Mus musculus: one gene and its partners. The protein of the gene in region 6 purifies or fractionates together with the protein of the main gene of each other region. This does not show direct contact. Links are inferred from orthologs where the notes say so. Each region holds a gene or a part of one and is shown on either strand. Other genes may lie near its edges. The genes, in order: Acly, Dnajb6, Bag2, Irak1, Hnrnpdl, Stip1 and Ccdc117.

Region 1 (3,500 bases), on a different chromosome or scaffold from region 6:
GGTCACAGTGGGTGTGGGCTTTAAGACCCTCATCCTAGCTGCCTAAGAGGCCAGTATTCTGCTAGCACCCTTCAGATGAAGATGTAGAACTCCCAGCTCCTCCTGCACTGTGCCTGCCTGGATGCTGCCATGCTCCCTCCTTGATGATAATGGACTGAACCTCTGAACCTGTAAGCCAGCCCCAATTAAATAAAGCTGTTGGCCTTGTGATGGGTGTCTTAGTTAGGGTTTTACTGCTGTGAGCAGACACCATGACCAAGGCAAGTCTTAAAAAGGCCAACATTTAACCTCGTGCAGGATTCAAAAGAGGACCCCAAATAGAAGAGTGGAAGAGTGGAATTATTTTGTGAGGAAAGGCCTGGGAGGAAGAATGTGCCAAGAGAAAGGCAAATGAGAAGCAACTTTACCCATAGGTTCCAGACCTTTGCCATCACTTCTGTTTTGGCTTTGTGGTGTGCGTGCGTGCTTGCATTCATGTCTATGGAGGTCAGAGTTGATAATGGATATTTGCCTTAATCACTCTCTACCTTATTTTTTGAGACAGCATCTCTCACCGAACCTAGAAATCACCGATTAACCTAGACTAGCTGACCAGTGAACCAGTCTTCACCTCACCCCTTTGGAATTTCAGGCCTGTACCACTGTATCTGGATTTTATTTGTGTGCTGGGGGCTGACTCTCAGTTCCTCATTGTTGTGACCAGCTGAGCTTTCTCCCCAGCCTTTGTTTGGCTCTTTTACTCTGTAACTCATATTAGCCTTGAACTCCGGATCCTCTTATCTCTGCCTCCAAAATGCTGAGATTACACTTTCGGCCACCACGCCTGGCTACAGCTATCTTGTTTAAATCATCCAAAAGTCCAATTCTGCAGCTCTGGAAATGGAGGTACCGATTTGCCAGGTGCCAGCGCACAGAGCTGACCTTAAAGCCTGTGCCAGCAACCTCTGAAAGGTCGGCAGAATTCTGGATCCTCCATCCCCCTTTACTCACTTGGGAGAAAAAAAAAATCCCACACACTTCACGTTTATAAACTGAACTTGGGGCTGGAGAACTGGCTCAGAGGTTAACAGCACTGTCTGTTCCTCCAGAGGTACTAAGTTCAATTTCCAGCAACCACATGGTGGCTCACAACCATCTATAATGAGGTCTGGTGCCCTCTCCTGGCTTGCAAGCATAAATGCAGACAGAACACTGTACATATAATAAATCAATCACTCAATCAATAAAAAGAATCATACTTGAAGTGTGCATAAAAGTCTGCCCTAAGAATAACTGCATCTCGAGTTCCTTTTGTAGTGACTATCTATCTCTATCGCGCGCACAGATTGGCCTGGCTGTCCAGTGCACAGGTGCATATGATGACCATATCCTCCCAGTCCAGACACACATGCGCTCCGCTCGATGTGTACAAGGCTACTTCCATCTTTTGGCATTACAATGTTACAGGGCCTGTTCTACCCACGTCCCTCGAAGCATCTTTGAGTTCCTATTCGTAGGATACACAGGAATGGAGCTATTCCTTCAGAGATGTGCGACTCCAACAGCCACTTTAAGTTTATAGGTAGAGAGCATCACTGTGGGCTAGGGATGTAAAGCATTTGCCAGCATTTGAGGGTTCAGTTAACCCCTCTACCACAGCAGCAACACTGCTATAAGAAACTTAGAAGCCAAACCTGCTCTATACACATACCATCAAGAAACCCACAGGCTGTTCCATGCTGATGATGAATGAACTGGTTAGAGAATTGCTCTGTTTTGTTTCCTTGAGAGGAGTCTCACTGTGAAGCTCTGCCTGTCCTGGAACCCACTGTGTAGAACAGGCTGGCCTCGAACTCAAAGAAACCTGTCTGTCTCTGCCTCCTGAGTGCTGGCCCTGAAGGCGTGCTACCACACTCAGCTTGACAGATAATTTTTATCCTGCATTTGATTTCTGTCATGTGATTGGCCATCTTCCCAACAGAGGATAGGTTTTTGTTGTTTTGTTTTTAAAAGACTTATTTATTTTATGCATATGAGTACACTGTAGCTGTCTTCAGACACACCAGAGGAGAGCATCAGATCCCATTACAGATGGGAACCGCACTCAGGTGGTCAAACTGATGGCTGCACCTTTAGCCATTTGTTCACCTCACATGCCTGTACCCTAGTACAGCAAGAACAATGCTCTCCCCGCTATCTCCCACGGGGCTTCCCTAATCTGACCTAAGATTAGGTTTCCAGGCTAAGCCCAAGCCGTATCCTCTCCCTGCTTATGCTCCCTTGTGCCAGAACTCAATGTCTCATCTCGACCTTCACCTGCTGGTGAATGTGCAGCAGAAGAGTCTAGGTGAGATAAAATTCCTGGCAGGCAGAACTTGGGCTTGGCTTTGTAGTCACAAAGTGAGCAGCACGAGTTTACTGAGGGAATTAGCAGCTGATGGGGATGATGTCAGTACGGTTCAGCTCAGACAGCCATTTCTGCAACCTCATCCCCTACTCAACGACAGCCGGGGTCCCACTCATACCTCGGAGGAGAACATGGTGGCACAGGTCCCGATACACCAGCAGACCACTGGCTTGGTGAGGCGGCCCTCCTTGATGCCCCGGCAGATCTTATATTCCTCTGTGCCCCCTATCTGCAAAGGGAATGGGAGGAGAGAAAAGCCCCACAAGTTAGTGGAAGCTGCTTCAAGCTTTCCTAGGACCGGCCCTACAACAGGAAAAACCGCGCACGTAACACATGCGCAGAAAGGAAAAAAGAGCCCCACAAAAACACAACAACCCCATGAAATAAAAGTCGGCTACAAAATCAGGACACAAACCTGGGCTACGTAACAGGTAGTGAGTTTAACTTCTCCCCGAAAGATTCATCCTAGGTATGTAAGGAATTACGAAGGGACGGTCAGTGTCTTAAGGCCGTTCGTGCCTGGGTGTCCCTTTCTAATCTGTGATGACGAAGGATTAGAGCCTCTCCCAGAAGAACAAGTAAGGAATGGGCTTATAGAACTCTTCTGGAGCTTTAAATAAATAAATAAATAAATAAATAAATAAATAAAAAGGAGGCCCTCCCAGGGGTTGGGTAGATGCCCCAGCAGTTAACAGCCCTTGCTACTCTTCTAGAGGACTGGGCTTCAGTTCCTAGCACCCAAATGGTGGATCACACACATCTATGAGTCCATTTCCAGGAGACTGGCACCTCACTGACTGCTGCAGGCAGGAGGCATAGGCACACATGGTGTACGTGGTGTGCAGACACACAAAGGCAAAACCGCACATATACATAAGATTAAAAAAAAAAATGAAAATTATAAAAGAAGCTGGCCTCACTGCTCCAGCCGTCTTTCCCAGCGAGTGGAGACAGTTCCTCCTTCACTGCTGCTCACGGCCAACAGAGCAAACTCTCAGCCCCAGAATCTTACCGGCTGTACCACCAGGACGATTGCTTTAAGGTGTACAGTGCCAGGGTGCTTGAATTCTTAAAAATGCAAATCCCAGACTACCTTTATAATCAAAAGGAGACC
Region 2 (3,500 bases), on a different chromosome or scaffold from region 6:
TTGATGCAGTAATAGCTTTCATCACTAAATACTGAAAATAAAATTGAAGTATTTCTGTAGATTCATCTGGCAATGTTAAGTCCACAGCAGGCTGACACTACTCACTCACAATTCACCACAATGGGAAGCAGATCCATGCTGGTGTTACAGACAGTCTCTTCCTAGCACTACTCAAAAGTCACAGGGCTCACCTCAGATTACGATTGGTTTAAAGCAAAGTGCATACAGAGATTACAACAATTTTAAGGACAAAAGAAATAGAAAATAAGGTCCTATTTTGTGGTCCCAACAACAAACTCAAAAATCTGATAGATGGAGGCTCCAATGAGCTTTTTTATAAATACTTTAGTTTAGGTACAGTTATACAGAAAGTCGAGTTCGTTTCAAATCTTCAAAAAAAAAGTTCCTGTTATTCCTCAAATGGTGCTTGTTATGGTTTAACATTTCTGTTAAATGCGTGCGTTGAGTTACTTGTTATCCAAGCGTAGCAGGTGCTCCTTACCATTTATTGTCAAGGACTTTAACTGCCCATCTTCTTCAACTTCTACTCTTTCTTGACCGTTCTCCACAATCCTGTAAGAAATGACCCATTTAGAAACCTCTGTTCAATCGGGATGTTTAGCAAGAGTTTTACTAACAAACTTATGGTCCTGAGCTCAGTCCTTAGAAGTACAAATATATAATATATATATATAATATTTGTGATTTACATAACAGATCCATGAAAACTAAGCTCAAGAGTTCTTCCTAAAATTCCAATCCTGCCAAAAGTAAATGTGGACTCAAATACTATCAAATACAGGAGATGTTATAAACCACAAAGAGTAAGAGTGGGGCTGGAGTATGGCTAAGTGGTCGCAGCCCAACTCTGCCATTAAGGTTTTCCTGCTCAAACAGCCACTTTCATTTTTCGACACTGACAATGCCAGGGATTCTCATGACAAATGACCACACAGTGATATGCATCAAAGGAAAAATTAAGCAAATATTCAAAGCAAAAAGCTTTACGGCTTTGGCTGATTTAGAAATTAAGCACACGGGATGGTGAGATGGCTCAGCGGTTAAGTGCGCTGACTGCTCTTCCGGAGATCCTGAGTTCAAAAGCCAGCAATCACATGGTGGCTCACAACCATCCATAATGAGATCTGATGCCCTCTTCTGGTGTTGCTGAAGACAGCTACAGTGTACTTACATATAATAAATAAATCTTTTTTAAAAAAGAAAAGAAAAAAAAACAGAGAGAGAGATACCTCTTTGTCGTGATTTTTTTGCCATTAACTATCTTAGTTGAAGTTGATATTGATTTGAAGTTGCCCATTCCACTGCCGCCAAATGACGTTGAAGAAAATGAAGTGAGACCCCCATGACCTAGTGACCCAAATGGAGTGAAGCCTATAAAGAAACAGAAAAGTACAGTTAAAAGCTACAAAGTTTAATATTCACACAAAAATTACCTTATTCCAAATTTGTGAGCCTCAAAGGGAGCTGAGTGAGCTGAAAGTGGGTGAGGTACTAACTAGTTCCAGCCTAAATGATGTTCTACCTACACAGCAGACAAGTACCTACAACACACAACAACAATGTACAAATACCTGTTATTTTTAATTTTTCTCCCAAAAGCTGCCCCAGAGAACAACTTTCCAAGGTCCTAATGTGGCACGTGCTTTTAAATTAATGCAAGCATGTGGGATGATGAGGTCTCAAGACCATCCTAATCTCCAGAGTGAGACATGCTAGTCAACAGCCAAGACCGTACCCAGAAATCACTGCTCTAGTCTATTAGCAACCTTTTCCCAAGAGGAAGTGCGTGTGTGCTCGTATGTGTGTGTGTTGGGGGGGTGGGGGGGGGGCGTTTGCCATTAAACCCTGATGACCTTAGTTCCACCCCTAGAAGCCATGTTGAAGAAGACCACCTATAAGAAACTTTTCTCTGGCCTCCAAACACACAATGGCATGCCTGTGCCCATACACTTAACAACAGAATTATATTAAAGATGGAAATGAAGTCCTGCTTTCTCATATACAGATTCTGAGAGCCCTGAGTCTATTTCACATTTTGGCCACACCTTATGAGCACCTTAATGCAGGGGCAACTAACAACACACCCACAAATACCCACAATTAGTGGCTATGACTTTTGACAAGATGCCTTTACAAACCCGTTATAACGTTATAACTGGGCTCAAACCTGGCATCCAGTGTGGTAGGATTAGTCTTTCACACAGAGCTGTGAAGAAGAATCTGTCTACACTACCCACCTCAAAACAGGAAACAGATTTCCAACCAAAGAGAAACTTACCTGCCCTGTCCCATACAAACTTTAAACTATACTAGCTAAAAGATAGATCAAAAGAAACGCTTTAATACCTGTATCAAAAGCAGGAAATCCACTTCCAAAAGAAGGAAATCCACTGAAGGTAGAGAAAAATGAGCCGGCACCTCGGCTTCTATTTCCTCGGGGACCCCTTCGGTTTCCAAAAAAGTCATCAAATGGGTCTTCTAGAAACAGATTTTTAAAAAATGCATTATGAAAATATTTAAGGTTTTTTTTCCATAGAGGAAGAAAAATGGGTTAATGCCTTAAAACACGTGGGTCTGTTAGGCACAAACACCCAACAGCTCTTAGCACTCTGGAGCACGTTCACTTACTGGTACCATTCAAGTAAAGCTGAGTGCAAAAGACCAGACAGGTGCCTAATGGGAACGGTGTATCTACAGATACCTCATCAAGCCTTCAGAGGGCTGTTCAACAAAGCTCAGTACACAATTAGTTTCATTAGAAAAGACAGTTTCAGCCCAGCATTGTGTGGCACAAGCCCACAATCCCAGCACTCCTAAATGCAGGCGGATCTCTGAGTTCAAGGCCAGCCTGATCTACAGAGCAAGTTCCAGGATAGCCAGGGATACCCGGTCTTGAAAAACAAAAAAAGATGGTTTCCATCTTAGGACAGCTTTGTTGCTGTTTTCCAACTTTTCATTCTTTTATGCATAGTTAGGTGCAGCTTAGGGGCATGTGCACACAGGTACACAGAGGCCAGACTCATCAGATCACCCAGAAGCTGAAGTTAAAGAAAAGTACTTGTAAGATGCCCGACTTGAGTTCTGGAAGGGGATCTTCTGCAAGGGTAGTACTAACGAGCCATCTCTCCAGCCTCCAACCTTAGACACTTGTACAGAGAGGAGGAGCAGAGTCCAGCATGGTACCCCACACCTTTATATCCCAACTCAGACAGACAGATCTCTGAATCTGAGACAAGCCTGGTCTACAAAATTTCCAAAACAGCAACAGGTGAATATAACTGCTGGTGAGCCTGATGATTATGACCCAATAATTCCTTTCTCATATCAATTCAATTTGATGGCTCAAAACTCTCAAGATAGGGATGGAGTTGACTCAGAAGTTAAAAGTAAGTGTTGCTATCATGGAGCGACACCCACATAGAGGCTGACAACCATCTCAACTCCAGTTCCAGGGAACCCAACATCCTCTTCTGGCCTCC
Region 3 (4,031 bases), on a different chromosome or scaffold from region 6:
ATTACAGTGGTTGAAATTACAGTGTACACGAAAAGTGTTCCTTCTAAATTACAGACTGTTACTCCAAATTAAGTATGGTGTCAACTTGCTTCGTGGGTCCTGGAACACTGGCGCATCCGAACAGGAACCTTAAACAGTAAGAAACCAAAGCAGGCGGGTGGCCCGTTTCCCTGGCTCCCGCTGGCAGTCACCCTTTCCTGGCTGAGTGAACTGGAAAGGAGCTGCTCACTGCGGGCGGGATCGGTTTTGGGAGATGTGTAAAGAGCCAGCCTTCCAGCCCTGTCAATCATTTATCCCTCCTTGGCCAATGTCCAAACCCCAGGCCCGGAGCAGCTACTCGATAACTGGCACGTTCTAGGTCTTCAAGGTTTACTGAATCAAATGCTAAATCGATTTTCCCCTCCTTTAGTAAAATCATATTCATTCATATATCAGCTGGACAGTTTGAAAAGTGATATTCAAGACCAGGACAAATGGTGTTGGTCTGAGCAGCCGGTCTCCCCGTGTTCCTAGGCGAAGTCCACTGCTCTGGACTGAGACACACTGTATATATCTGAGCTTCAAGTTCTCATCTGTACAATACAGATAACGGTAACTCCCACAGAGACACGCGGCCTAGCCTACAGACTAATGCTAACGTGGATTATTTACAACCACTGAAAAGTACAGTATTTAGCCTCAGCATGTGCAGAGTCCCCATAGAACTGGTCATGAAAATCAGGAAAGGACAGGATTATCTTTTTAGAGAAAGCACCACAGGAAAGGAGATGTAGTAAAAAAAAAATTTTTTTTAATGTAAGGATATTTTAATGTAAAAATGTTTTTAATTGTAATATTATAAGCCATTAAAAACCAATGGCACCCTTTACCAGCTTGTAAAACTGGGCTAAACATTTAAAAGCATTTTCAATGCCCGGAAGATCAGTGCATCCTGCAGGACAGAAAGCCTTGGGTGTGGTTTCAGTCTTACAAGGGAGCAGGCTTTTGCTGTTCACAGAACCCATTCACCTGAATGGAAGATGCGCACTGGCGACAATCCAGTGATTTCCGGTAGTACCCCGTCCACTGTTGTCCTCAGACGTGTACACTAAGAAAGCTAGGGGGAAGTCACAGGAGCATCGTCCCCATTTTTAAAAAGTCTAATTTTGAATACTGTCATGCTCTGTGGCACTGTCCAGATGGCTTCTAAAAAGGGCCCCTAAGCCTTACCAGGCAGCATCTCTTTCTATTTCTTTGCCCCTTCTGACACACTTACTTCTAAGTGCTCATTACATTTTTAAGGGAGAAACAAGACTTACAGAACTCTGCAGTTACTGGTAAAGGCCTTGAACCATTAAACACAGAAATAAAACCCCTTCAGCGCAACTGTTAATAAGTAACGTAATTTAATCGCTTATGTTTGGTAGTCAGGATTCCTTTGATAGTAATCAGACACTAGAATGTCTATGCAAACTCCAGACTTTCAAGAGGCCCCCAGGAGAAGAGCAAGGACTCGGCACACAGGCTTGATTAAGTAAAGGTTCAGAACAATGACTCAGCTTGAAGAGTCACAACTTCCTGAACCCTTTCAAGAAAAAAAATCGGAGCAGTTGGGAATATACTGTCAAAGGTTAGAGCCTACCTCGCACAAGGAAACATTCTCGCCCCCTTTCACAGCGCAGGTCCCTTTGTCTCCCGGAGTTGGGGGATATAGGGTTCAGGTTTCTTTTGTGGCTACTCCACAGTCAGTGAAAGTTTTCTCACCTTCTGGCTCTTTTCTCCTAATAGTAACAGTAATGAGCGCCTCCCGTGTAACGAACACTGCTTGCATTTTTTTTTTCCTGTGCAGACACACTTCCCTGTGTTTGGTGGCTGCGTGGAGGGAGATTCATCTCCCTCTTATAATTTTGGGTCATAGTGTTCTGCTTACGCAGAACCCGGAGAAAACTAGGGAACAACGTGTGTGTCAGGGCATCTTGATAAGATTTTCATGGAACACCTGCACATGATCAAAACTTGCACAACTTTGAAGACATTAACATTTCCACCAGATACATAAGGCTCACGTGGTTAAAGCCAACCAAGTGTTCACAGCATTCGTTAGTAGTATTCATGAGTTAGAAATTTTACGACAAGGCTGTCCCCGTGTCAGAATCTTAGGGAGAGTGTGACTCCTGCCTTTGGTGTTTTCGGGCCTGCGATTGGCACTTCCAAGGTGTCAGCCGTGTCTTCTAAATGTACAACAAACACGGACAGACTGCAGAGGGCATTGCACGTGGTTGAGAGAATGAAGGATGGTATCCAACTTCGGTGTACCTCGCGCGGTCTCTCATGAGTCCGATTCTCGATGATCCCCAGGAGGGGCCGTCCTGGATACTACCACCCCCCCCTCCCTTACACTTGTATTACTATGAAGTGATCTGGGGCAAAGAAACTTACTCCAGTGTGGGGTGAGGGGGGGGGGGGCACACCAACCTGCTGCCTCCCTCCTGGAAGCAGAAAAGTTAAAGGCAGAGGGGGACCGCGCAGAAGATTCTGGAAGTTCTGCAAGCCGCACTCGCTCGCCAGTCTGCCGGGCCGGGGGAGGGGAGCCCAACCGGAGCGCGCCCCCGCCCGCGCTCGCCCCTGTGCGCGCCCCGCGGCCCTCACCTGAGCTCCAGCTGGTCCAGACTCTCCAGCAGGCGGCTGGAGCGGTCGGCCATGGAAGACGAGCGGCAGAAGCGGCCCTCGTGGGCCTTGGCGCTGATCTTCGCCTGGGCCATGAGCTCCGGGGGTCCTCGGCGTCCGCGGGCAGCAGTGGCGCGAGCCGCACGTCGCCGTCACCACGGGCGCCGCTGACGCGGACGGCACCGCCCCCACCTCCCCGGCTCTCCACCCCCGAGGCCGTGCGGCCAAACAAGGGCAGGCGCGGTCGCAGCCGCGGGCACGCCAGGGTGGGGGACCCTGCCCCGGCGCCCAGGGCCTCGGCCGGTCCTCCCAGCACCCACGGTTCACAGCAAGGACGAAGTGGGTGCAGCCCGTGAGAAGAGGAGACAATCCAGTGCACCCTAGGGCAGTCTCTACTTGTTCGACCTGTCCGGTGACCAGGCAGGCTCGGGAGAGGACAGGGAAAGCCTAGACCACAGGCTCCAAATAAGGAGAAGCCAAGTGGATCCGTGTTGTCTCCCCTTTCCAATGAAAGGATTATTACTATCACACATAACTTGTTTAAACCCTCTGCGAATGATATTCAGTAGGCTTAGATGTCAGAAGCTGCAGAGGTCAGTAGGTCTGAAATACGAAGCCGCATCTTAAAGTTGTGTTTTGTCCTCTCAGTGTACAGGGTACAGAAAATGGGAAACAAAGTACATTTACATCCTTTACCCAGAACTCAAAGCCATTAGATTACTGAACAGAGACAAGCCCCTTAAGTACAGTTTCTAATCCTGTCCCCACCACACCCCGAACACATCTTAATACTAATAAACGGTGGATTATCTTGGCTTCATTAAACACTGTCATCTCACGATACAACCGTGAAATCTGAACATTTTGTGGACATCTTGAAAGTCTGAACTTGGGCAGGTCTCAGGTCTAATGCTCCTCTGGAGGCTGACAAGTTGTGTAACGTGGGCCAGGGTGGATTCAAGGCTAGGCTGGGTAGCTTCAGCAAGTGTCAAAGGAAAAATAAAAGTGGCCGCAGACATAGCTCTGTTAGGTTGGCAACGAGGCCAGGCAGATGTGGTGGTTTGAATGAGATGCCATCTGTGCTCTCTAGCACTTGAACACTGGGGAGGCCTGGGTGTGGCCTTGCTGAAGGAAGTGTATCACTCCCCGTGGGCAGGTTTCAGAAGACCAAGCTATTCCCAGTGTCTCTCTGCCTCTGCTTGGGTTTGAGATCTGAGTGCTCAGGACATGTCTCTGCAGCCATCATAGACTCAGACCCTCTGTATCTAAGTCCAATTAAATGCTTTCTTTTACAAGTTGTCTTGGTGGAGGTGTTTTATCACAGCAGTAGGAAAGTAACTAAAATGGCAGGGATCTTCATATGTTTGTTTAAATGTCTCCACACG
Region 4 (3,500 bases), on a different chromosome or scaffold from region 6:
CTATAGAAAGTCATATGGCCAGGGAGACAGTGACCCTCTGCTCAATGAACAGCTCTGTTCTGAGTGTCCCTGTGATATTCTTCCTGCCCAGTCCTGTGAATATGGGAACAGGTGTTGCCTGGGACCTCAGAGCTGAGAGTACTTAGGGCTATGAGTACCCCTGCATGGTGCAAGTATACAAATAAAGCCACGGTGGTGAGCAGAAGCCAAACAATGTGAAGGGGCTCAGGGACTGCGGGCCCTCAGACAGCTGGGATGCAATGCAGCCACTTTCCATAAGCAGTACGCCTCTAGTCCAGTTTATCAGGACCATTTGGGTGTAGGGGACAGAAAAACAGAAAGGTAGTAGGACCTGAACTGGTGCCATTCTTCCGTTTGTTTCCAAGTTCTAACGTGCTTCTGGATGAGAGACTGATGCCCAAGCTGGGAGACTTTGGCCTGGCTCGTTTCAGCCGCTTTGCGGGGGCCAAAGCAAGCCAGAGCAGTACTGTGGCCCGGACTTCCACAGTTCGAGGTACCCTCGCCTACTTGCCTGAGGAGTACATCAAGACAGGCCGACTGGCTGTGGACACCGATACCTTCAGCTTTGGGGTGGTGAGCCACCAGCCCTTCTGTTGGCTTGGGGAGGGAAAAGCACCAGTAAGTAAAGTCAGGAAAGCCTAGAGAATTCTAGGCCTAAGGCAGAGGTGAGCCTAGTGGGGAGCTAGCATAGCTTTGGCCTTAGGGATCACCCTGCCTCATACACCTCCCTCTTCCCTTGCACTAAATTGTGGTCATAATTTGCATCCTTTTGCTTAAGCTTGCATCCCATAACAATGCTGCCCTTGCTGGGAGGTGGTCTGTACCTGCCTGTTCCGGGACTACTTTCCCACTAGTCCTGATCCATGCCCATGCTACAAGCCTCTTCTACACACAATTTCTCCCTGCTAAAGTGATGTTGTCTATCCCCCCTCTAGGTAATACTGGAGACCCTTGCTGGTCAGAGGGCTGTGAGGACACAAGGTGCAAAGACCAAGTATTTGGTGAGCCTCCTAAGGTGGAGCATGGAGGGAGGGAGGGGCAGCTGCAGCCAGTGGGTACAGCCCCAGAGGGTGGGATGGTACAGATCCTTTACATTGCCCCACAATAGCCTGCTACTGCTGCTGCTGACTCATCTTTAAAAGTGGGTGAGTCCCAAGCAGTTTCTTTTACCTTGCACGGAAGAACCTATCTTTAGTTTGTACCTAGACCTTGAGGATAGGGATGTAATCTCAGTGGTAGAACCTTATTGCATGCAAGGCCCTGGGTCCTATCCCCATCAAAGGGGAAAAAGAACTTTGACAGGTTCCCCCTCTGCCTTGGACTGGGGATAGAGAGGGGGCTATTCCAGATACCCCGGGGACCAAACCTTCAGTGGAACTTAGAGCAGGGCTGAGTAAAGGCAGTAGGAAGTAGGCAGGCTGTTAAAGTAGCAGCTCCAAGCCATCCTGACCCCTACATTCCTGTCTACCTTGCTGTACACTGAGATAGGGCTAAGGAATAAGAGACCTAAAGCTTAGCATCTGAGTACATGGTTTTGGTTCCAACATTCAAAAATCTGAGGCAGGAGGATTGCCAGGAGTTGGAGGCCAGCTGGGGCTATATAACAAGACCTTCTATCAAAAACAACAACAACAAAATTAGTTGATTATGGTGGCATGTACACTTAGGAGGTAGAAGCAGGGGGGTCAGAAATTTAAAGTTATCCTCAGTAATATAGTAAGTTCAAGACCAGAGTAAGTTACATGGTTCACTGTCTCAAACATACAAAGAAGCTGGGCAGTGCCAGCACATGTCTTTAATCCCAGCACTTGGGAGGCAGAGGCAGGCGGATTTCCGAGTTTTGGCCAGCCTGGTCTACAGAGTGAGTTCCAGGGCAGCCAGAGCTACACAGAGAAACCCTGTCTTTTTTGTTTTTTGTTTTTTGTTTTTTTTAAAAACAAAAAACAAAAAAAGACAAGAGACCTGGGTTTTAGTCCCATCAACACAGTGGTCATGGGTCAAATTCTTGCTCTTCATTGAGCTTCAGTTTCCCATATAGAAAACAGACTTTAACACAGGAACACTATTCCAGCAATTCCTAGGCCCAGAACATGCTTGGCTAATGCTGGGTCGTCACCTTTTACAGAGTTACATCTCCCATTGCTTCTCCAGGATGAAGCCTATTTTTGTCCACTGTTGGGCCCAGTGGGGGATTTAACCAACCCAACAAACTGAACCAGATTCTACCCATCCCTCCTTCCTTTACTGCGTCCATTAGCACATCCCAGCTCAAGTACTGGTTGTTCAGACCCCACGGACCTTGCTAACAGACTAGTAGGTTTGTTGGCATCTGTTTCCCCCACTGCAATGGGATGTCAGGACTGTAAAACACGGCCCAGAGTGTTTGATTTGTGGCTGTTATCAGTAGAGCCCCAGACAGCACTAGGCACACAGTGGTGTTTAATGAACCTAGGGAAAGAAGACCAGAGGACTGAGTGGCAGTGGCCTGGAAGTTTTGGTGGAACCATGCTGAACTGACAGTATTTGTTTTACAGAAAGACCTGATTGAAGATGAGGCTGAAGAGGCTGGAGTGACCCTGAAAAGCACCCAGCCTACTCTGTGGGTGGGTGTAGCCACGGATGCTTGGGCTGCTCCAATTGCTGCCCAGATCTATAAGAAGCACCTGGACTCCAGACCTGGGCCCTGCCCACCCCAGTTGGGCCTGGCCCTGGCTCAACTAGCTTGCTGCTGCATGCACCGTCGGGCCAAGAAGAGGCCCCCCATGACCCAGGTAGCCCTGGGGAGGCCAGTTAACCATGGGGACATAGTGGCCAGCAAGAAAACTTTCGTACTTGCCCTGCTTGATAGCAATAGCTACAAAGTACCTACCTGATCTCTTACAGAGGCAAAACTCCCAACATTCCTTGCTTGCCCTTTGGCTCTATTTGGGGAGGTGCTCTGTGGAACTAAGTGGTAAAGGGCTGCTGCTTTGCTGGATGAGCCTCAGATCCCAGGAACAGGTAGAAGGAAAGGGCTCTGATCATGCCCCTAAGTGGGGGTGCTGTGCCACTCACTACCTTTGTCTTTTTGTCTTACCTTCCACCTCTTCTGGTGATGGTTAAGAATAGAGTTCCTGGCTTTGGTGGCCATGAATCTCAATAGTTCTTGGGATGAGACAAAGGAACAAAGGGCAATGTTTTCTCAGCTGCAGAGTGCACCAGCTTTGTGTTATCTGTCATTCTGTTGGCTGTATGGGGCCTGTGGTATTAACCTGAACATAGGCAAGTCTAGGCCAACCTGAAGCAGCAGAGTAGCTGTGTGGTTTGACCACAGGGTGTCAGATCTAGGCTGCCTTGCCCAGCCAGGAACCCATGCTCTGCCCATCCTGAGAGCCTCTCTCTCCACACAGGTATACAAGAGACTAGAAGGGCTTCAGGCAGGGCCTCCCTGGGAGCTAGAGGTTGCCGGCCATGGCTCCCCTTCCCCACAGGAGAACTCC
Region 5 (4,292 bases), on a different chromosome or scaffold from region 6:
TGGGAAGGCCTAAACCTCAAGGACCACTAAGTCAAGGCCACCACCTCTGCGGGCCGCAACCTTCAGCACATGGGGGACGCTCATCCACCGGGCGACACACCTACCTGCCAGGCCGTGGGAGCTCCAATCACCCCAACTCCTCCCAGCTGACCTGCCCCTCCCCAAGCCGTTGCTGAGACCATCTCCACTTCTTCCTATCCTTCTCCACCTAACCGAAAGCAAGGACAGGGGAGAAGATGGTGGCGCGAGGAAAAGCACCCCCGCAAACCGCCGCAGCTTCTCTTCCCCATTCCAGAGACATAAAGCCACACCGCCTCTCCTGAGCCTCCCAGGCAAAATCTCCAACACTTAAAATTTCCCTTTCAGATGCTTTTAGGCACAAGTAACTTCCCCGCTCCCTTCCGCCCCTCACCTTCACGAAAGCAATCGGGGTTGTGGTACCTTCGATATCTAACAGGATTACGGTGACTTCGGCGGGCACGGAAACCACGACCATTTCCCTGCCGGATGCTACCACGGGCTCGGCCTTGGTTAAGGAGGGCAACACCGCCTGCGCGTCTTGAGCTCCCGAGGGCCCAGCAACAACCGAGGCGCTGGCGACAGCGAACGACCAGGGGCTCAGAGACAGAGCTGGGACCCGCAGTTGCAGAGGAAGCCGCCTAGGGTACTACACCCGACGAGCAGGCGAGCCGCGCAGGCCCGGACCACGTGGGCAGCCGGAGGGGCGGGGCTCCGGGATTCAAAGGGGGGGGGTGGAGGAAACAAGGAGCGCGTGCCTATTGGCCGCCGGCGAGCCGCGAACCCGTCGGTCAAAATAGGCCTCGCGTGGGCGGGAACAAAGAAGCGAGCACCCAAGCCTGGAGCCTGGAGCCCGAGCGCGGGCACCAGCCCTCCGCAGCCTGCTGGAGCCTGCGCGGGAGGCCCGGGGCTCGTGCAGACGGGAGTCCCTTGAGTGGCGCGCCCGGGACGTGAGTGCCCCTTGTCTTCCCCGGCACCTGACCCCTTCCCCGCCCACCGCGTGCACCTTGGCACAGCTTCAGTCATCCGAGCAGGCCCCGCCCTCCGCCGCGGCCTCAGCCAGCCTCGGAGAACGAACGCACGGAACCCGGGCTGCAGAGAGAGATCCTGCAGCCACGGCCCCTGAGCCGACACCGCCCCGAGGCGACGGCGGAAAAGCCGTCCCCGCCAGGACGGAGGCGGTCATCGCGCACAGGCTTTCTGCTCGGCTGGTTGCAGCCGGCGCGAGGACAAAACACGCGTGCGCCGGGAGGGCGGGCGAGCGAGCGGGCGGACGGGCGCGCTGCAGCTTCAGCAAGCGGCGCGGGGTGCACGCCGCCCTTTTGCCGGAGTGGCCGCCGCTGCAGCAGCAGCAGCAGCTCTGCACTAGGGGACTGAGGGCGCAGCAAGGGACTGAGCCGAACTGGACGCGCGACGCCAACGGCTCTCAAGGCAAGAGGGACTGTGGCCCTGCCACGGCGCCGCTCGCGATTCCCGGTCCCGCACGGCTGACTCTCCCCGCGGCGCGACCTCGCTCCTCATCCGGAGCGCGGCGATGGAGGTCCCGCCCCGGCTCTCCCATGTGCCGCCGCCATTGTTCCCCTCCGCTCCCGCTACTTTAGCCTCCCGCGGCCTCTCCCATTGGCGGCCACGGGCTCCCCGGCAGCTCGCCCCGCTCCTCCCTTCGCTCGCTTCCAGCGCCTCCCGCCAGGGGGCGCGCCGGAGCCCGCGCCACGTCACCGCCCAGCAGCCCTCCCGATTGGCGGGCGGGGCGGCTATAAAGGGAGGGCGCAGGCGGCGGCCGGATCTCTTCCGCCGCCATTTTAAATCTAGCTCCATACAACGCTCCGCCGCCGCTGCCGCCGGGACCCGGACTGCGCGCCAGCACCCCCTCGCCGACGGCTCCGCCACCATGGAGGACATGAATGAGTACAGCAACATAGAGGAGTTCGCAGAGGGATCCAAGATCAACGCGAGCAAGAACCAGCAGGATGACGGGTACCGCACGCTCCGCTCCTCCCCTCCCCCAGAGCCCCGCGCGCGCCCTTCGTCCCTCCGGAGCCGCGCGCGCTGCCCCCAGTCTTTCCCCGAGTCGATTCTCCGCGTGCCCGCTGGACCCCAGTAGCCTTCCCCACTAGTGGAAAGTAAGATGGGGTGACTCGAGAGGCCCGCCGCGGGTGGGGGAAGGGAGGAGGGGTTGGGGAAGGAGAGAGGCGCCGTCGGTGTCCCGAGTGCGCAGGCGCCGCGTGGGGCCCGGGAGGGGGGAGGGGCCGGGTTCTGTGCGCCACTTGCTGCAGCTGCTGCTGCCGCTGCCGCCTCTTCATTGTGTGTGTTGGCCGCTCGCGAATTTTCCTGGGTTAGGTTTGGGAAACTTTTGGTTGGGGCACCAGTAGACGACTGGCACTAAAAGTTTCCTAGGTAGCAAAGTTGGCTTTAAGGCTGTGGGCAAGAGTCTACGTAAGTTGCGGGGGAATCGGTGTAAAAGTTGTGCTCTGCAATCCAAAGCAAGCAGGGCAGGACATCTACCAGATTCTAATGGCTTTTTTTTTTTTTCTAAGTTTTGAGTTCGCGTGGTACAAAGCAACGTGCCAGCTGGCTTGAACAAGTGGTTAAGATTTTTGTGGTCTAATGTTAGTGTTTGTAGTCAAAACAGATTGCGTCTGGAGAGTAAGTTGCCCTGTATTTAATCACTAAGTTACTGTTAAGCTTATTTTTCTTAAATAACTTTATTTCTAGTAAAATGTTTATTGGAGGCTTGAGCTGGGATACAAGCAAGAAAGATCTGACTGAATATTTGTCTCGATTTGGGGAAGTGGTAGACTGCACAATTAAAACAGACCCAGTCACGGGAAGATCAAGAGGATTTGGATTTGTGCTTTTCAAAGATGCTGCTAGTGTGGATAAGGTAGGGCTGTGTTTTGCATTGAGTCTACTGCGTTGCTTGCAAGTTGCTCTAGGCTTTTAAGTCCAAACTGCCTTGTCTTCCAGGTTTTGGAACTGAAAGAACACAAACTGGATGGCAAATTGATAGACCCCAAAAGGGCCAAAGCTTTAAAGGGGAAAGAACCCCCTAAAAAGGTCTTTGTGGGTGGATTGAGCCCAGATACTTCAGAAGAACAAATTAAAGAATATTTTGGAGCCTTTGGAGAGGTGGGCTGTGTTTGTGTATGTATGTGTGTCTGTGCTCGTGTTTGGTCAAGTCTGGGGGGGTTCATTAATATTTCACCGGATGGGACTGAATTCTCTTGCTTCGTCTTCACTGCTGCTTTCTATGTTGTAGTGGAAACCAGTATCTAATCTTACTTAGCCAAAGCCCCAAAGGTGTAAAGTGTTTCACCAATTGGTGGCCTCTGGGGTGTAAGGTACTATAAAAAGATAAAACACAACTTTTTAGAACATGGTGGTCAGTAGATGTGTCTGGTGTTTGTGAAGAGCCTGTGGCATTATATAATCTTTATTAACTGGTGGGTTTGTTTGTTTTGTCTGTGCACCTGATTTCAGATAGAAAATATTGAGCTTCCCATGGATACAAAAACAAATGAAAGAAGAGGATTCTGTTTTATCACATACACAGACGAAGAGCCAGTAAAGAAACTGTTAGAAAGCAGATACCATCAAATAGGTTCTGGGAAGGTAAATCCCTTAACAACTTAGAGGATTGTGTGTGTGAAGTCAGTGTGAAGAGAAACTTGTTCTATGTTCAGAACTTGGAACATCTGCAAATTTTCTGTTTATTTACAGTGCGAAATCAAAGTTGCGCAACCCAAAGAGGTGTACAGGCAGCAGCAGCAACAACAGAAAGGAGGCAGAGGGGCTGCAGCCGGCGGAAGAGGAGGTGCTAGGGGGCGTGGAAGAGGTGAGACCTCCTTGGGCGAGTGAGCGGTACACTGAAGCAGTGAGCTGCTAGGGACCTGACCTGTAGGGAAACACAGCTAGAGTGAAACTAAAGAGCTGACTTGGGGGGGGGGGGTTGAAGCCACAGTGTAGGGGACAGGAATGGATCAGCTTGTGGTAGGATTGGGACAGTCCCAAGTTGTTTCCTAACCTTCGTTGTGCATTGTTTCAGGTCAGGGCCAAAACTGGAACCAAGGATTTAATAACTATTATGATCAAGGATATGGAAATTATAATAGTGCCTATGGTGGTGATCAGAACTATAGTGGCTATGGCGGCTATGATTATACTGGGTATAACTATGGGAACTATGGATATGGACAGGGATATGCAGACTACAGCGGTAAGAACACTTAACTCAATTGTGAAGTACTTTCCCATTCTGAACTTGTGTGTATGGG
Region 6 (4,014 bases):
ACAACCGGACATAAGGTACCTATGGAAAAACAGCTTCACAGCACCACCACCACCACCGCAGATTTTCCAAGACGGGTTTCTGCATAGCCCTGGCTGTCCTTGAACTCAGGGATCTGCCTGCTTCTGCCACCCAAGTGCTCGGATTAAAACTACCACAGACTCACCGCTCCCTTTTAAAGCCAAGAATAGAGTGAACATGAGTAGGATGTTACTTATGTTATTGGGATGGGCATGTAGCTCACTTGATAGCCCAAGCACCAGGTTGGACCCCAGCACCAAGCACAGTGGCATATACCTATTATTTCAGGATTTATGAGGTGGAAGAAGGAGATTGCTGTAGTGAAATTATTACAGCACCTATTATGGAATGATCATCTACTCATGATTCAGAAGACTGACATAGAATGTACTTCTTGCAAATGCGTTTAGAATCCCAAGGTACACCAATTAGAAACTTTCACAGAACAGAGGTCCCAATGCACATGTAAGCTGGCTTTTCTCTGCAATCTCAACACTTAGGAAGAGGCAGCGGACCCTATTCTCAGCAAAGGAGGATGACATGCAGGAGAGATAAAGGAACAGACAGGAAACTGCCAATATGACATTCCTTTACAGGAAGGTCAAGGGAGAAAAAGAGTACACAGTACACAAATATTCATCTTTGAGCTGGGCAGTGGTGGCAGAGGCAGGTAGAGTTCTGAGTTCAAGGCCAGTGTGGCCTACAGAGTTATTTCCAGGATAGCCAGGGCTACACAGAGAAACCCTGTCTTGAAAACAAACAAACAAACAAAAAAAAACCCCTCGTCTTTGTTTGCAGTTAGGATCTCTTTATGTAGCTATAGCTGACCTGTAACTCCACTATATAGACAAAGCTGTCTATCTGTCTGCCTCTGCCTTCCAAGTGTTGGGATTGAAGATCTGTGCCACCACACCGGGCATTAGAAATAATGTTTTGGGATTTTTTAAGACAGGGTCTCACTATACAACTCTGGTGGTCCACTTACTTACTCAGAGATCAGCCTGCCTCTGCCTCATTGAGTGCACCATCATGCCTAGCAAAATTAAATCTTAAAATATAAACTATGTGTCACTGTAGGAGTTACCTGGAATTCTACTCTTCAAATGTACAATTTTCCAGACAGGGTTTCTCTGTATAACCCTAGCTGTCCTGGAACTCTCTGTAGACCAGGCTCTCCTCAAACTCAGAAATCCACCTGCCTCTGCCTCCCAAGTGCTGGGATTAAAGGCTTACTTATGCCACCACCACCTGGCTCAAATGTACAATTTCCAATATTCAAACGCATTTGTGTATATGCTAGTGCATGGGGCAGACATTGGAAGTCAGGGTCTTCCTCCAACACTCTCCACCTTACTCTGAGACAGAATCTCAATGAATCTGGAGCTCACAGACAGGCCTGAGATGCTCGGGTCTCCCCTCCCCTCACCGATTTAGTGGGTAAAGGCAATCGGAACCCAGGCCTTCATCCTTAGACATCAAACGCTGAACCAACTGAGCCATCTCTAAGCCCAACGCTCAAATTTGTCATCTTACTGTAAGTTTGCAGTCCACAGGAACACTTGCACACTTGTATAATGGCTGGCAGGATTTTTCCCCACTGAGGAGGGTGGGGAGGATGGACGGGGTAGACCATAGCTCTAAATTCAGGCCCTGTGTTTGATCCCTAGTGCCACACAATGAATGAATGAATGATAATGAAAAACAACCTCTTTTTGTTGTAACAGAGCAAGGTGTTACTCATACCAAAAAAGCGTCTCTCTTGTCCGTACTGCAGTTACAGTTTAATTACTCCAAGGGTACAGAAAGTTGATTAACCTCTCCATTTAGTCTTATTAACAAGGTGAGAGGCCCCACGGTCCCTCACAGTGACTATTCCAGAACAAAAGGTTTTACTTTATACATCACAGTAAAAGTAGTAGTAAGCTGTGCTCTTTTTGTATGTGTGTGTTTGGATGAATCACAACGGTTCAATGACAGCTTCCAAGGTAACAAAACCTCTCCAGGCCTCAGATGCAGGCCACTGTAGCCTGAGCTAAATCACCAAGGTAAGGACGGCAGGTTTCCCTCTGTGCCCCAGATCAGATGCTGAGCGGTAGAGACAGGGACTTCTAGCTCCTCACTATCGGCTCACAACTGTCTAAAACCACTAAATCCTGTGTAATCGGGAACGGAATTTCCAAGGGTCGGATACTCAGTCACCCCACAGTCACTACGAAAAGTGGGGGGAGGGGCGACATATGTATGCCTCAGGGAGCCCTGGTGACACTGTCCGCGCCCGCCTTCTCTGCAGTCGCGCGGGTCCTTTTCCCGGGCGCACACAGATGCCGTGTACCCCGAAGGCTGCTGGGGTGATCGGTCACCGGATCCCTCCAAGTTCGCAGCGGCCGACAGGGGCCTCTCCGCGCTGAGGAGGCCCGGCCCCCAGAAGCTTCGGGGCCCGGCCGCGGCCAGGCCTGTTCCCGCTCCACTCGGCGGGTCGCGGGGGCGACGGGCGCTCGCCATTCTCCCCTCACACGCCCGACCGCGGCTCTCACGCCCGCGCCTCGGCCGCCCGACCCGGCCCCCCAACCACTCGCTTCTCCCCGCCAACAGGCCTGCGCTGCCCCGGGGCCCCGGCCGCCCCTCCCCCTTCACCTGCTCCATAGCCTGGCCCGGAACCCCGTTGAATCGAATTCGTCCGCTCCGCGTTCCCAACCGCACGCGCCGCCTTCTGGAACCTACTAGAAGCTGCCGGGACCCCCAGGTTACCGCCCCTTCCTCGCCTGCTCACTGGTTGAACACGTCCAGGAGGCTCTGCTCGCCCCTTTTATAGGCTTAAAGTTCAGTCAATCATCGTGACTTCTCTTTCATTGGTTTTTTACGGGTCTTCTCTTCAGCCCTGCCTCCTCTGCACCTCCGGATTGGACACTCCGCGGCAAGTCCCGCCTATTTCAGGGCTAGGCTAACTGAGGGAGGAGCGGGTCTTGACGACACGGATTGGTTGGTTAGTCCGTCAATTGTAGCTGGCCTGGCCGCACCCATTGGTCCTGTTCTTTCTGGAAATTTCCACAACTCTCATTGGGCTGAAGGACTCCTAGACGGAACCGCCTTTCAGAGGAAACATTCAATTGGGTGGATGGGTGGGGAAAAAAAAAAATTTGGCCATTCCTGGCGCTGATTGGTTTATGCCGCTGCCCTGTAAGGGGGTGCTCGGCTGGCTGGTGGTTCGTGGGGAGTCGAGCATCTGGCCCGGTGTCGCCTAGGCTTTAACTACAGCGTTACAAGCTGTTTTCCCTGAGTCTGAGACTGTTGGCCCGCGCTTCCTCGCATCCTGACTATTAGGCCCGGAATGTACCCAAAATATTGCGGGCTATGACGGGCCTGCGTTGAATGTTCCCAAAATGCTGCGGGCCACGACAGGCCTCCGCTTTTCCGGCAGTGTCCTGGCGGACCGGCTGCTTGGCCCTTACTCTCTGAACTCAGCTGCAAGCTTTGGTCACCATGGCCTGCCAGCAGAAATGCTACTTGGGTTGCAGGCTTAGCGTGTAGCTTATGGAACGACAGAGACTGATGATCAGGGGTCTGGACAGGATTTGTATAAGGAACGTGGGCTGTGCGGTGCCATGTCTGTGCCAGTAGCACCAATGCATACCCTCTCCATCCGGTTACCCCTTATCTGTTCACTTATGCCTACCTAGTTCTTTCTCCTGCCTCACTTAAGATCGGAGGAAATGAGCGGTGGTGGCATACAGCACGCAGGAAGCAGAGGCAGGTGTATCTCTTAAGCTAGCCTGATCTACATAGTGAGGTCCAGGACAGCCAGAGCTATCCATACCAGAACTATATAGTGAGACCCTGTCTCAAGAGAGAGGGAGAGGGAAGAGGCAGAGTGCTGAAATTACAGGTGTGAGCCAAATGTGGCAAGAGTACTTTTTGGGTGACTGGAGATAGAAACAAAGGTCTTGTCTGTGCTACACAAGCCCTCTACCCATGAGCCTCCAACCTTCTGTTTGACA
Region 7 (3,831 bases), on a different chromosome or scaffold from region 6:
GTCAAAGCAAGAACCTTGGGACTAACTAGCAGGTGAGATACCGAGCTGTATCTATCTATTCTAATCCCAGTTTCCAACCCATCATGTTAGATAACTTTTACTTTTACCCAGGGCTTTCAAAATTTGGTTAAAAATAATTTTTTTTCCTGCAACTGTAACCCAATGATAAAATTCCTTGCCTCACGAGGATGCATAGACATCATAGACTGCCTTATCTCTTCAAACTCCTCCAACTTGAGCTTCCAACTCTACATCTCACCTTTGAAGGCTCAAGTCACAGGGTCAGCATCTCATGTCCCATGGCAGTGACCTGCTAATGTTATTGGTACGTTAGCAAAGGCAAAGCAGCCTGCCTAGTCTAGAAACAGCTCACCTTTAACCCCACAGTATCAGGCTTTCGGGACAAATTTAAGTTTTCCACTGATAAGGATGCCCCCTTAATTAAAATTTAAAGCTAAGGAAAAAATGCTTAATTTACATTTATACAGGATTACAGATACTTTAAAAGTTCAAAACATTGAGTTTTATTGAAAATAATAAAGTACAGAAACACCAGATTCTCATCTTTAAAGCAAATCTGACACATCTTCCAGCACGTTGTAGCACTGCAGCATTCTTGTTGCTGTTAACAAAGGCGGCTCCAGGGCCAGAGTGGTTTGGCCTGCTGCCTAATAGTCTCCCTCGGCTCTAAGGCCTGCCTTGTTTCTAAATCTTAGTTTTACCTTTTTAAGAACGAGCAGTTTTTAAACTGGTTCTTGTCATGAGAACTGGATTCTCATATTATTAAGAACAACAACAACAAAAAGCCCCAAGCCAAGAACCAAAAAACCCACATACACCCGACTCAGACTCACTGAAAATACATTTGTTCATCAGAGCTCACCTGCTTTAGATAACTGTTGACTGTCACATTAGCATACTGAGCCAATGTTGGATTCACACTGTAAAAACTATACAAGATGAAAAGACCTGTTAATTCCTTAGGAAAACCTTAAGGCAGAAGCCAAAGTCTTATGCTAGAGAGGAGAACAGAAGGCAAAGGTATCAGAGCTGTGGAGACAACTGGGTGTGTGTAAGCACCACAAGGATGAAGGTGATTTCTGTACAAACATGTGCAAGAAGATAAAATCCAAAAAGGAGCACAAAACATCTACTTTCCTGTTGAAACAGGGTCATGTCAGGTAAGGACTCCTGACAAGTTAAGACATCTCTGCTCTCAAGTGGTTACCAACTGCATCAAAGCCACTCGGGCCTTTCACAGAGGCAGTCCTGGTGTTTTAGGCCCTTTGGAAAGCTGCCACTACCTTCCTACCCTAACACTGGGCTAACTCCAGACTCTCGGCATCCCTGCATGGTTCTAAACTGTTCTAAAACTTAGCACAGAGATTTCTTTAAGGCTATAAACTTCACAAGCTGGTCCCATTAGATAAGCCAGGAGTTTTCAAATGACACGAGCCAAACCCTTGCACATTCACAGAAGACAGCTTTCATTCCCCTAGGAGTCTGAGATGAAGAAACAAGTAGCTGGCTTCAAGACTGGTTTGAAGGTTGATTAACTTTATTGTGTAGATATAAATATTTTGTTTAAATATTAAACATTAAACCTTTTCCTGACATCTAGACAGAAACGGAGAGAGCAGGAACAACAGCAGAGGAGACAGTCCAAAGACAGACGGACTCCTATGCCATCTGCAGGAGGGAGGCCAGCATGGGTTGCAAAACGCCAAGAAGCTACGTTTCTAAAAAGTCACCCCCCCTCAGCATAAACCTCTTCTCTGTTCTCCCCTATACAAAGGGAGAAGCAAGCCAGAAACTGAAAACTCAACTGAGGAGGAGTTCAGCTGTAGAAAGAGCCGCCACACTCACTGGATGGATAGCTTACTGCTCTGCAGCGCTGAAGGACTTGCGAAAGCCCTCATTACACGTCCTGCCATGCTGAAGAGCTCTTCCTGAGAAATTAAAAACTTTAACCCTGGTTATTTCCAAAGAACACCTTGAGACTGGTTCGGGTACTAAAGGGTAAAGATTTCCTGCTGGCAGGAGGCCATCTTCTGCTAACTTTTAGGCTTACTGCACAAAAGCTTAAGCACCTGACAATTAGCTATTTCAGTAAATCTCCAAGACACTTCTCCATTTCTTTTCAGCTAATTCACTGTTTTTGGAACCAACATTAAAAAAATTCAACTTGCAAATACAAGCACAACTTTCCCTTTTTAAACTCTAGAAGCAATCAATTGTAGGTTTAGCTGACACAGCATGTCCTTAGGATTCATGAAAAGACATTTCTCTCACAGGCAATATACCTCCCAGTCTTTAAGTCAATCACTGAAGTTAACTGAGGTGTAAACATTCCTGACTAACTGAGCCTATCCGTCATGAAAGGAGATCAAGGGCTACTACTTGGGTGATCCAGCTACACCAACCTGACACCAACACAAGTTTCTTTGCTTGTTCCATTCCTTCACAAGAGACAAGTCCTGCTCTCTTCCCTCCCGAGCCCCACGTGTACAGTGACCACTACAAGTAGCTCAGCACATGACTCAGCAATTAGGGTGCAGTGGCGATTAGGAGCACTCCTGTACAGAATCATCTCAAGAATGAATGGCTTCAACAATGTGACATGACCTAAGTCATCGGAACACATCCAGCATCTATAGCTGTCGTTAAAGAGACTGTAACATTTCCTGGATAAGCCTATTAAAAAACTGCATTTCCCTTGAGATAAGCTTCCTTGGCAAAAAGTTGAATTCAATAAATGGCTACCCACAATGACAGTCCCACCCAAGTCACAGGCAGAGGAGATATTACACCCGTTTCATAAAACTTTCAGGCCCCTATACTCTGCAGGCAGGCTCATTTCTGAACGCAGGAGCCTTCTCCGACTTGTCAAGTTAGAGCAGAACGGGTGTCTAGAGCTCCATCTCCTCCTCTGTGCTAGTAGCTGCCTCCAGACTACGGTAAAGCGGCGCGTCTGCGCACTGAGGTTCCAGCAACCCTTCAGTCCTCTGTGGGAACGCAGTGCCCGGAGCTGCGTGCTTTGCTTGGCTCTCTCTCCTGTAGTTCTTAGGGCTAGATGATGGCTTTGGCTTCTCAGGAAGGAGTTCAGGGAGAGGTTTCCAGAGCACAAGCTCCATAGAAGGACGGCTCCTGGGATGTAAAATACAGATTTTTATCAAACTCTAGGAATGCAAATGAAGGCTACCTGTAACAAGCTGCTGTCTCTCAGTCAGTCTAGGCTGCCTGTAACAGGGTCCTGTTCACTCCCAACGCCTCAGTCAGTTAAGAGCTGGTGGTCCTGAAAGAGCTGGTCTGTTGTTGGTGTATCCCTATCCATTAACTACTACCAGTTTCAGAATTATTTTATCTTGATGTCTTTTATCAGTTCTCATTATAGAAATTTAAATCTTTTAATTAAAAGTGTGGCTGGGTCATGGTGTTTCATGCCTTCGGGAGGCAGAGGCAGATGGATCTCTGTGAGTTCAAGGCCAGCCTGGTCTACAGAGCGAGCTCCAGGACAGCCAGGGCTATACAAACAGTCTTGAAAAGCCAAAGAAAACCAAATGTGTTCACTTCAGCAGAAGATATACTAAACTTTGAATAATACTGATTAGCATTTGTTAGTTAACCAATGCTTCATTTTAAAAAAGAGCTAGAGATATTTAGAGTTCAAATGGACTTAGCAAAATAAAAAGCACATTTATGTGCATGTGTGTCTGAGTGTCCATGGGAATATGAACATGTGTTACAGTAGGGGCTGGTGTCTCTTCACAGCAACAGAAACCCTAACTAAAACCCTAAAAGAAGTGAGCATTGTTTCCAGGCCCTCAAATC

What was found.
Region 1: the proteins of Stip1 (region 6) and Acly fractionate together in Homo sapiens (co-fractionation; 3 studies listed by BioGRID, with this or other methods). This does not show direct contact. The link is inferred for Mus musculus from reciprocal best matches to the Homo sapiens genes STIP1 and ACLY.
Region 2: the proteins of Stip1 (region 6) and Dnajb6 purify together in Homo sapiens (affinity purification with mass spectrometry; 3 studies listed by BioGRID and IntAct, with this or other methods). This does not show direct contact. The link is inferred for Mus musculus from reciprocal best matches to the Homo sapiens genes STIP1 and DNAJB6.
Region 3: the proteins of Stip1 (region 6) and Bag2 purify together in Homo sapiens (affinity purification with mass spectrometry; 3 studies listed by BioGRID and IntAct, with this or other methods). This does not show direct contact. The link is inferred for Mus musculus from reciprocal best matches to the Homo sapiens genes STIP1 and BAG2.
Region 4: the proteins of Stip1 (region 6) and Irak1 purify together in Homo sapiens (affinity purification with mass spectrometry; 3 studies listed by BioGRID and IntAct, with this or other methods). This does not show direct contact. The link is inferred for Mus musculus from reciprocal best matches to the Homo sapiens genes STIP1 and IRAK1.
Region 5: the proteins of Stip1 (region 6) and Hnrnpdl fractionate together in Homo sapiens (co-fractionation; 3 studies listed by BioGRID, with this or other methods). This does not show direct contact. The link is inferred for Mus musculus from reciprocal best matches to the Homo sapiens genes STIP1 and HNRNPDL.
Region 7: the proteins of Stip1 (region 6) and Ccdc117 purify together in Homo sapiens (affinity purification with mass spectrometry; 5 studies listed by BioGRID and IntAct, counting the BioPlex papers as one, with this or other methods). This does not show direct contact. The link is inferred for Mus musculus from reciprocal best matches to the Homo sapiens genes STIP1 and CCDC117.

What each region holds. Positions count from the first base shown.
Region 1 is NC_000077.6:100,490,001-100,493,500, forward strand, and holds part of Acly (ATP-citrate synthase), read right to left. Parts: intron 2,616-3,500; coding exon 2,505-2,615; intron 1-2,504. UniProt on the Homo sapiens protein: Catalyzes the cleavage of citrate into oxaloacetate and acetyl-CoA, the latter serving as common substrate in multiple biochemical reactions in protein, carbohydrate and lipid metabolism.
Region 2 is NC_000071.6:29,763,398-29,766,897, reverse strand, and holds part of Dnajb6 (dnaJ homolog subfamily B member 6), read right to left. Parts: intron 2,500-3,500; coding exon 2,368-2,499; intron 1,393-2,367; coding exon 1,251-1,392; intron 574-1,250; coding exon 468-573; 3' UTR 1-467. UniProt on the Homo sapiens protein: Has a stimulatory effect on the ATPase activity of HSP70 in a dose-dependent and time-dependent manner and hence acts as a co-chaperone of HSP70. Plays an indispensable role in the organization of KRT8/KRT18 filaments.
Region 3 is NC_000067.6:33,754,951-33,758,981, forward strand, and holds the start of Bag2 (BAG family molecular chaperone regulator 2), read right to left. Parts: upstream 2,801-4,031; 5' UTR 2,742-2,800; coding exon 2,629-2,741; intron 2,617-2,628; exon of another isoform or gene 2,455-2,616; intron 1-2,454. UniProt on the Homo sapiens protein: Co-chaperone for HSP70 and HSC70 chaperone proteins. Acts as a nucleotide-exchange factor (NEF) promoting the release of ADP from the HSP70 and HSC70 proteins thereby triggering client/substrate protein release.
Region 4 is NC_000086.7:74,017,422-74,020,921, reverse strand, and holds part of Irak1 (interleukin-1 receptor-associated kinase 1), read left to right. Parts: intron 1-386; coding exon 387-594; intron 595-956; coding exon 957-1,022; intron 1,023-2,555; coding exon 2,556-2,792; intron 2,793-2,904; coding exon 2,905-3,021; intron 3,022-3,410; coding exon 3,411-3,500.
Region 5 is NC_000071.6:100,036,423-100,040,714, reverse strand, and holds the start of Hnrnpdl (heterogeneous nuclear ribonucleoprotein D-like), read left to right. Parts: upstream 1-1,492; 5' UTR 1,493-1,552; coding exon 1,553-1,995; intron 1,996-2,733; coding exon 2,734-2,902; intron 2,903-2,985; coding exon 2,986-3,147; intron 3,148-3,498; coding exon 3,499-3,630; intron 3,631-3,738; coding exon 3,739-3,853; intron 3,854-4,063; coding exon 4,064-4,234; intron 4,235-4,292. Other genes in the region: Enoph1 (enolase-phosphatase E1), read right to left, coding at 442-496. UniProt on the Homo sapiens protein: Acts as a transcriptional regulator. Promotes transcription repression. Promotes transcription activation in differentiated myotubes. Binds to double- and single-stranded DNA sequences. Binds to the transcription suppressor CATR sequence of the COX5B promoter.
Region 6 is NC_000085.6:7,037,227-7,041,240, forward strand, and holds the start of Stip1 (stress-induced-phosphoprotein 1), read right to left. Parts: upstream 2,801-4,014; 5' UTR 2,663-2,800; coding exon 2,654-2,662; intron 1-2,653. UniProt on the Homo sapiens protein: Acts as a co-chaperone for HSP90AA1. Mediates the association of the molecular chaperones HSPA8/HSC70 and HSP90.
Region 7 is NC_000077.6:5,528,387-5,532,217, forward strand, and holds the end of Ccdc117 (coiled-coil domain-containing protein 117), read right to left. Parts: intron 3,148-3,831; coding exon 2,910-3,147; 3' UTR 501-2,909; downstream 1-500. UniProt on the Homo sapiens protein: Facilitates DNA repair, cell cycle progression, and cell proliferation through its interaction with CIAO2B.